Oryzias latipes: one gene and its partner. Each later gene encodes a partner of the first gene's protein in a complex. Links are inferred from orthologs where the notes say so. Each region holds a gene or a part of one and is shown in the gene's direction. Other genes may lie near its edges.

Region 1 (4,539 bases):
GCCTTGGTTCGTCCCTGGGGTTGGAGTGGGGGGATGCTCAGAACTTCCAGGTGGTGGTGGGGTGCTTGTCTGGGGCTGGGGGGAGGGGGCTCTCCAGTGTGTGGAGTCCAATGCTGGGTCCACTGATGTGCAGAGAGGGCTATTCTTCTGGCTGGGCTGGAGCTTGCATTCTCCGTGCCCCCCTGCTCTTTGGCGTTGGGGACCCCTGTGGCGGTCCTGTGGCCCCTGTGGGGACCCCCCTGGTCGAGGGTGGTTTACTGGATCTGGATCTGCTATGTGTCTGGTGAGCCCTGGCTGCCACTGTTTCTGCAGTAGGGGTCTTGGTGTGGGGGTAGCCGGGTGCTCCACTCTTTTAGCATTCCATCATCCACCACCGTAGAACAAAAACACTCACCTGAGCACAGGTGTCAGCTCACGTTTGCACCTTTGTAAATGTGTTTTTTTATACTATGATGGGTTCCAGTAGTACAAACTACATCTAGTTTTTAAATATATGCAGAAATGTTGCTAAAAACGCGAGGACTTCTGTGAATAATGTTTCTATGTAGGGTAGTGGAAGGACTTCTGCTTGAACAATCGAGACCCAGAAGAGGAAAAAAAAAAGGCTCAAAGCCATTAAATGATCAGGAGGAGATTGTCTATGTAAGTGTACTACAGAGTAAACTTAGTCTGTACTTAAAGTTAGGCAGTATTCTTGAAGTTTACTTTTTAAATTATGGAAAATAAAAATGTTCCAATTTAGAAATATTTCGTTAGTATACTTCCTACATACCAGATGCAAGTACTGTAGTCTACTTACTATATTCAATCACTGTGTACTTAGTCAAATAAACTTCAGGTGTACGACTTTTGGTAAAGTGTATATCTGCAAACATTTTACAATCTCTGATGATTTTTTTCTTTTTTGATTTTATTGCATAGTAATGTATTTGCGTCCTTCATTTAAACTTGTCCTGTCCGACAGCTGAGCAAGCAGATCAGAGCTGAAGGCTCTGCATTAATTATTTATCATGGATCTGGATCCTTCTGTGAAGAATTGAAGGGAAATAAAACATTTGAACGCATTTTAATGTCAAAAAGCTTTGCATGCAGCAAACTCCAAAGTGTTGATGGAGCGACCTCAGCTGAGAGAAAAACACCACTGGAACATATTAAGTGTAGAAGAATTACGATCACATCTGATTTCAAATGAAAAAAGTTTAACTCAGCTTTTTTTGCTGATAAAAACAAGAGGCTCCTGCGATGCTTTTATTTTGAAATTCCAAATGGATCCCTGACCCGGAAACACAACAGCAGCAGTGTTCCGATGCTAACGATGTGTCATCAACACAACAGGCGAGAGTAAACCCCTGTCCTGGTCGCTGAAGGAGCTGCTCGACGGGACTTGGACGTTTGTCGTCGGGAATCACAAAGTTCACGCGCCGCCGGACGTGACCGGAAGTCTTCTGCCGCGCCTTTAGCAGGAACTAAGGCTAACTGTCCGACCCCTCGTCTGCTGGATTCCCGACGGGATCGGCCGGGCGGCAGGGATGTCTTGCAGCTTGCTGGAGTTTGGTCGGCTCCAAGAGCTCAGAACCGTTCGGGACTTTTTGTTCCAGGGTCAGAAACCCGATGCGGCGGAGGAGCGGAACCAAGCAGGTGAAGTGTTTGCCTCCCGCCGCACATTTCTAGCCGGCAGGTTACATATAATGTGGCCATGATGATGACGGGCATTTTTTTGTGAAACAGACTCCTCACATTCATGTTTCCGGTTTCCCAGTAAAGTTATTGTGAGAGATGCAGCTTGGATGTCATATCTGGACCATGAACGATCATAACTAGTAGTTTTTCATTACATTGTGTTTATGTATTTAGTTAGCTGAAGTCACTGACTCAGTGGCAAGGCTCTGAGAGTGGACGAAGTCCTCCCTGAGTACCTCAAGTGTCTGGATGCTGGGAGTGTCTTGGCTGACACGTCTCTCTGCAGCATCGCGTGGCATTTGGGAACTGTACCACTGGACTGGTTTTCCTCTCGGACATTCATTCATACTGTGTGATGGTAACTACTGATGTAGCCACAGCTGCCCTGGGGCAGACTGACGGGGGTGTGGCTGCCAGTTTGCGCTTACGGCCCCTCTGACCATCACCTGGACATTCATGCATGCACATTCACACACCAGGGAGGGTGAAGGGTCTTGCCCAAGGACACAGTGGCAGTTAACTGAGGGGGACGGGGTTTAAACCACTGACCCTTCCATCTCCGTCTGACCTCCTCAACCACCTAAGCCACTGCCGCCCCAGAACACTCAACACTAAGGTTGTGTCTGAATGCCTTCACTATATAGTGCGTTCGCTGTTTTGTAGTGCTGTCCGAATCTACAATTCCAAAATTCAGTGCCCTAGAAATTTCCCAGAAGTCTCTGCGGAAAACCAGTGTGCATTGATGCTCACTAGATTGGCGAATATAGACCACAATGCGTTGTGTCTGAACTATTTTTGCTTTCAAAAATTGTATTTTTCAAATAAACCATCAACGTTTTTATCTCCAGAACTCAGTGGATTCATAAATAATCGTCACAAAACGTTCAAATAAATTAGACTTTCACTTCACTAAAATTCAGAGCATTAGATAGTCCCACACTAAATAGTTTTTAGTAGTTAGGGGTTAGGATGGGAATTCGGACACAGCTTAAGTCACTTCCTTTCTGTTTATGTCAGTAGTATCTTTCCCTTCTGTTTATGACAGAGAAATAAACAGACAAAACCTCTAAGCTCTATGTAGACATCCTCTTCCTGACGTTTGTTGGAATCTTCTCCAGATAATGAACTTTCCTGGGACACCTCAGATTGGGAATCAGCATGGGACACTGAGAATAATAAAGTGCAGGAAGGTGCTTCTTCCACACAGGTCTGGCCTTTTGCTTTATTCTATTATTAATGTTTTAGGATTTGCTATGGTGACGCACAGAGGTGAAGCTTGTCTCTGCTCTGCAGGACTGTGCAGCACCAAGTGGACCCTGGCTCCATGACTGCATCGTTTCCCTCTCTCCCTGCTCTGACCTGCTGGTGGTGGCCCGGGAACAGAAGGCGGTTTTCCTCTCGGGTCAGACCTTACACACAGTCTGCCTGACTCTTAGCAGTAGTTTTTATTTGAAAGGTGTCTCTGTGTTTGTCTTTGCAGCCAAGTGGCGTACAGATGAGAGTGGCAGAGAGGAGATGACCCTGGGGCTTTCTTGGAGTGGAACGCTCAGCACTGAGGAGGGGTCCGATTGTTTATGTTCTTAGTAGTTTAGCTTCTCCATCATGTCAAAGACCAACCCAAGCTTTAGTTTGGCTCTCAGTTGAAGCGGCTCTTTGACTGATGGACTCTGTTATGTACTGTAGTCCTGTTCTAATCTCACTGTATTTACAAAATAAGCAAAGCTACGATTAAGGAGGTAAAGAGATTTTTACATTATTTTAACTTAAAAAGAGATTAAACTTATGCCTGTTGTCCTCTTGTTCTACAGAGTTGATATCTTTAAAAGGCATTAAGGGTTTTCTAAATTATTATTTGTCATTACTTAATCTCCCTCCTTAACCACATTCTCTAATTATTATTCACTTTGTGTTCCTACCTGCAGCAGAAATTTATTGGATATGAAATGAAAAACAGAAATATTGGGCGTGCAAAATGATGCAGTCCCAGTTATTTTACATCTCAAGTTTTCTTTTATCTTTATGTTTGTATTCATTAGTTTATTAAACTAGTTTTTAACAATTTTATCGTGTTTATCTTTTATTGTACAGTGGCATTTGTGTTAAAGTGCTTTATAAATAAAGATGCTGATGAAGTTAAAACGGGTTTTTCTCTCCAGAGAGTGTGTGAGCAGTGCAATAGCAATTCCGCTGGCAAGCCAGAAGAGGTCAGAGCAAATATGTCGACTGTTGACATAAAAAGTGTGTATTTGTGTGTACTTACCTTGTTGTTGTTGTGTGTAGAAGCTCCACTGGGCGGCCGGACTGGACCTGTGTTGTAGTCGGCTTCACTTCTGGTTATGTTCGCTTTTACACAGAGGTACCTGTTGGACTTAGGCTGGTTTTCTGGCTGCATTACTGCTAATGTCAGTCTGTTTTGTAATTATAAAAATAATTGTGTCTTCAGGGTGGGGTCCTGCTTCTGGCTCAGTTACTGCATGAGGACCCTGTTCTCAGACTCAAATGTCGCACCTATGAGATCCCTCGCCATCCTGGAGTAGCTGAACAGGTGAGAGCGGTGTTCAGGTTCTGTTTTGTCTAATTCTGGGTCTATCAGTTGATGGATTAGAAGTATTAGTGATTTAAAACCATATTTATTGTAGGGCTGTCAAATATCGCATTAATTACAATTAACTGATTACAGACAAATTAGCATGTTATTTTTTAAAATTTTCTTAATCCAATTTTTAATCTACAGGATTATTGTCGTGTTCTCAGATTGAAGACGAAGGTTCAGCTGTTTACTTGCAGGAACGTTTTATTTCAGCTCAGCTGAAAACACGACTTGGATCGCTCTTACTGTCCCTGTACGCAGCAGGCGCC
Region 2 (4,097 bases), on another chromosome or scaffold:
CTCTTCAAGTTTGAACGTCTGATCCAGAGTTCAAACGTTTCTTTTTTACATTTCCTTCTTTTGTTTTAATCATCATTCCTCCATATTTGTTCCTGGGCCTCAGAGGCAGCAGAGAATGTTCCAGCCGTGAGGAAAAGCATTCAACAAGCTGCCAGTCAGGTCAACAAGCTGCTGCACTCCACCAACCTAGACTACAAGAGGTTTGAGGTTAGTGACAGTGAGTCCAGCGGCGTTTCCTCATCATGGATGGATCTTCACTCATCAGCTTCATTTTCATTCTAAATGCTTAACAGCCACAAAACTGCTTTTTATTCAAGTCCCACTCTGACATCTTTTGGTATCCAATTTTGTGTTTCCTGTAGCTTTTTAACAAGAAATATGCAGTTTTTAGCCTAGATACAGAAACGAAGTTTCTGCAGAGTAGCAGGAGTTCGTTAGAAATTCACCTCAGAGTTTTACAAACTGCGGATAAATTCTCTGATTTGATAAGTTGATCATTATTGAAGCTTCTTCTTTTCAGTTCTGTTTTTTTCCCACAGTTTTTGAAATATTTGATGAAATGACTTTCTATGATGAAATGGGTTAGGGTTATTTTTTCCTGAACTAGTCTGTCTGCCTGCAGGAGTTTGTGAAGCAACTGGCAGGAATGGAAACGGCCATCGCTCAGGCTCGATCGCTGAAGGCCAAGTTCACCTTCAACAATGAAGACCAGAGCGAGGCCACCGAGCTCAAGAAGTGAGTCTGACTTAGGGGGTGGAGCCTGAGTGTGGAGGTGGAGCCTGACTTTGAGGGTGGAGCCTGGCTGTGAGGGTGGAGCCTGACTGTGAGGGTGGGGCCTGGCTGTGAGGGTGGAGCCTGGCTGTGTGGGTGGAGCCTGGCTGTGAGGGTGGAGCCTGACTGTGAGGGTGGAGCCTGGCTGTGAGGGTGGAGCCTGGCTGTGTGGGTGGAGCCTGGCTGTGAGGGTGGAGCCTGGCTGTGTCGGTGGAGCCTTGCTGTGATGGTGGAGCCTTGCTGTGATGGTGGAGCCTGGCTGTGAGGGTGGAGCCTGGCTGTGAGGGTGGAGCCTGGCTGTGTGGGTGGAGCCTGGCTGTGAGGGTGGAGCCTGACTGTGAGGGTGGAGCCTGGCTGTGAGGGTGGAGCCTGGCTGTGTGGGTGGAGCCTGGCTGTGAGGGTGGAGCCTGGCTGTGTCGGTGGAGCCTTGCTGTGATGGTGGAGCCTTGCTGTGATGGTGGAGCCTGGCTGTGAGGGTGGAGCCTGACTGTGAGGGTGGAGCCTGGCTGTGAGGGTGGAGCCTGGCTGTGAGGGTGGAGCCTGGCTGTGAGGGTGGAGCCTGACTGTGAGGGTGGAGCCTGGCTGTGAGGGTGGAGCCTGGCTGTGAGGGTGGAGCCTGACTGTGAGGGTGGAGCCTGGCTGTGAGGGTGGAGCCTGGCTGTGTGGGTGGAGCCTTGCCGTGAGGGTGGAGCCTTGCCGTGAGAGTGGAGCCTTGCCGTGAGGGTGGAGCCTTGCCGTGATGGTGGAGCCTGGCTGTGATGGTGGAGCCTGGCTGTGAGGGTGGGGTCTGACTGTGAGGGTGGGGCCTTGCTGTGAGGGTGGGGCCTTGCTGTGAGGGTGGAGCCTGACTGTGAGGGTGGAGCCTGGCTGTGTGGGTGGGGCCTGGCTGTGAGGGTGGAGCCTGGCTGTGTGGGTGGAGCTTTGCTGTGATGGTGGAGCCTGGCTGTGAGGGTGGAGCCTTGCTGTGATGGTGGAGCCTGGCTGTGAGGGTGGAGCCTGGCTGTGAGGGTGGAGCCTGGCTGTGAGGGTGGAGCCTGGCTGTGTCGGTGGAGCCTTGCTGTGATGGTGGAGCCTGGCTGTGAGGGTGGAGCCTGACTGTGAGGGTGGAGCCTGGCTGTGAGGGTGGAGCCTGGCTGTGAGGGTGGAGCCTGACTGTGAGGGTGGAGCCTGGCTGTGAGGGTGGAGCCTGGCTGTGAGGGTGGAGCCTGACTGTGAGGGTGGAGCCTGGCTGTGAGGGTGGAGCCTGGCTGTGTGGGTGGAGCCTTGCTGTGAGGGTGGAGCCTTGCCGTGAGAGTGGAGCCTTGCCGTGAGGGTGGAGCCTTGCCGTGATGGTGGAGCCTGGCTGTGATGGTGGAGCCTGGCTGTGAGGGTGGGGTCTGACTGTGAGGGTGGGGCCTTGCTGTGAGGGTGGAGCCTTGCTGTGAGGGTGGAGCCTGACTGTGAGGGTGGAGCCTGGCTGTGTGGGTGGGGCCTGGCTGTGAGGGTGGAGCCTGGCTGTGTGGGTGGAGCTTTGCTGTGATGGTGGAGCCTGGCTGTGAGGGTGGAGCCTTGCTGTGATGGTGGAGCCTTGCTGTGAGGGTGGAGCCTGGCTGTGATGGTGGAGCCTGGCTGTGTGGGTGGAGCCCTGCTGTGAGGGTGGAGCCTGGCTGTGTGGGTGGAGCCTGGCTGTGAGGGTGGAGCCTGGCTGTGAGGGTGGAGCCTGGCTTAGTGGGTGGAGCCTTGCTGTGAGGGTGGGGCCTTGCTGTGAGGGTGGAGCCTGGCTGTGAGGGTGGAGCATGACTGTGAGGGTGGAGCCTGACTGTGAGGGTGGAGCCTGGCTGTAAGGGTGGAGCATGACTGTGAGGGTGGAGCCTGACTGTGAGGGTGGAGCCTGGCTGTGAGGGTGGAGCCTGGCTGTGTGGGTGGAGCCTGGCTGTGAGGGTGGAGCCTGGCTGTGTGGGTGGAGCCTGGCTGTGAGGGTGGGGCCTGGCTGTGAGGGTGGAGCCTGACTGTGAGGGTGGAGCCTGGCTTAGTGGGTGGAGGCTTGCCGGGAGAGTGGAGCCTTGCCGTGAGGGTGGAGCCTGGCCGTGAGGGTGGAGCCTGACTGTGAGGGTGGAGCCTGGCTTAGTGGGTGGAGCCTTGCTGTGAGGGTGGGGCCTTGCTGTGAGGGTGGGGCCTTGCTGTGAGGGTGGAGCCTGGCTGTGAGGGTGGAGCATGACTGTGAGGGTGGAGCCTGGCTGTGAGGGTGGAGCCTGGCTGTGTGGGTGGAGCCTGGCTGTGAGGGTGGAGCCTGGCTGTGAGGGTGGAGCCTGGCTGTGAGGGTGGAGCCTGGCTGTGAGGGTGGGGCCTGACTGTGAGGGTGGAGCCTGGCTGTGTGGGTGGAGCCTGGCTGTGAGGGTGGAGCCTGGCTGTGAGGGTGGAGCCTGGCTGTGTGGGTGGAGCCTGGCTGTGAGGGTGGGGCCTGACTGTGAGGATGGAATGGCTGTGAGGGTGGGGCCTGGCTGTGAGGGTGGAGCCTGACTGTGAGGGTGGGGCCTTGCTGTGAGGGTGGAGCCCTGCTGTGTGGGTGGAGCCCTGCTGTGTGGGTGGAGCCCTGCTGTGAGGGTGGAGCCTGGCTGTGTGGGTGGAGCCTGGCTGTGTGGGTGGAGCCTGGCTGTGTGGGTGGAGCCTTGCTGTGAGGGTGGAGCCTGACTGTGGGGATGGAGCCTGACTGTGAGAGTCCAGAGTTTATCTTCCAGCTCCCAGAATTCAAACTGACCGATGTGAAGCGTTCCTGCCATTAAAATCCCATCGATTCAACTGAAAGAAGGCTGGGCCTCTAGAGTATGTTGTCGAGTGAGCGATGTTGCTGTGGAAACAGCATGACGTGCTTTTACATCCCTGTCTGCCTCTTTAACTAGCGGTTCCAGAACCTTCATGAGAACTCCTGTGTCTTAAAGGTTTGTGAGCTCCCTGCTGGAGGAGCCTGAGGTGGAGGTGACCGGAGCTGGACAGGGACCAGCCGGCCGCATCATTCACAGGCTTTTTGTCAATGCACAGCAGGTACGCAACCCCACCCTTCTCAGAGTGTCCGCCCACCCCCCTGGTGGTTGGTGCTGATGTTGTCCAGCCTTTGTAATATTTAGGGGCGTTGGGATGTGAACTTTTAATGTAAAGGTGTTTCTTCCCTAAGCTGCTCTAATTTCATGAGCTTCACACTCTGGTTCCTGACTGCTTTGTCCTGCTGCGTTTGACCTTTGACCTCTGATCCTTCAGGCAGCGCTCCTCCCTTTGCCAGACGAGGATGTGGGAGGGGACAAAAAGGATTTCCCACCCCCAGCGGGCCGAGAGATCCTTCTGCGCACGTG

What was found.
Region 2: the proteins of rab3gap2 (region 1) and rab3gap1 are in contact, whole or in part, in a cryo-EM structure (PDB 8VYB), measured with the Homo sapiens proteins. The link is inferred for Oryzias latipes from reciprocal best matches to the Homo sapiens genes RAB3GAP2 and RAB3GAP1. Residues at the interface, in NP_036546.2 of Homo sapiens: Arg197, His198, Pro199, Gly200, Ser276, Pro277, Phe278, Asp279, Met281, Lys282, Ser285, Asn286, Ile287, Gly289, Phe290, Asn291, Ala292, Ile294, Arg377, Phe378, Gly379, Leu380, Pro381, Asp382, Arg385, Cys395, Thr397, Leu398, Arg407, Arg415; in NP_036365.1 of Homo sapiens: Thr19, Ser21, Trp23, Glu24, Glu142, Ser143, Asn146, Leu147, Leu149, Ser150, Ser153, Ile154, Ile169, His170, Trp173, Arg174, Met176, Arg187, Asp189, Glu191, Met192, Val193, His194, Leu195, Arg196, Pro199, Tyr202, Ile211, Ser214, Lys215.

The regions. Positions count from the first base shown.
Region 1 is NC_019880.2:20,252,557-20,257,095, forward strand, and holds the start of rab3gap2 (rab3 GTPase-activating protein non-catalytic subunit), read left to right. Parts: upstream 1-1,272; 5' UTR 1,273-1,529; coding exon 1,530-1,638; intron 1,639-2,798; coding exon 2,799-2,887; intron 2,888-2,973; coding exon 2,974-3,082; intron 3,083-3,160; coding exon 3,161-3,242; intron 3,243-3,836; coding exon 3,837-3,884; intron 3,885-3,960; coding exon 3,961-4,036; intron 4,037-4,123; coding exon 4,124-4,225; intron 4,226-4,539. UniProt on the Homo sapiens protein: Regulatory subunit of the Rab3 GTPase-activating (Rab3GAP) complex composed of RAB3GAP1 and RAB3GAP2, which has GTPase-activating protein (GAP) activity towards various Rab3 subfamily members (RAB3A, RAB3B, RAB3C and RAB3D), RAB5A and RAB43, and guanine nucleotide exchange factor (GEF) activity towards RAB18.
Region 2 is NC_019877.2:24,428,839-24,432,935, reverse strand, and holds part of rab3gap1 (rab3 GTPase-activating protein catalytic subunit), read left to right. Parts: intron 1-103; coding exon 104-207; intron 208-622; coding exon 623-735; intron 736-3,689; coding exon 3,690-3,792; intron 3,793-4,005; coding exon 4,006-4,097. UniProt on the Homo sapiens protein: Catalytic subunit of the Rab3 GTPase-activating (Rab3GAP) complex composed of RAB3GAP1 and RAB3GAP2, which has GTPase-activating protein (GAP) activity towards various Rab3 subfamily members (RAB3A, RAB3B, RAB3C and RAB3D), RAB5A and RAB43, and guanine nucleotide exchange factor (GEF) activity towards RAB18.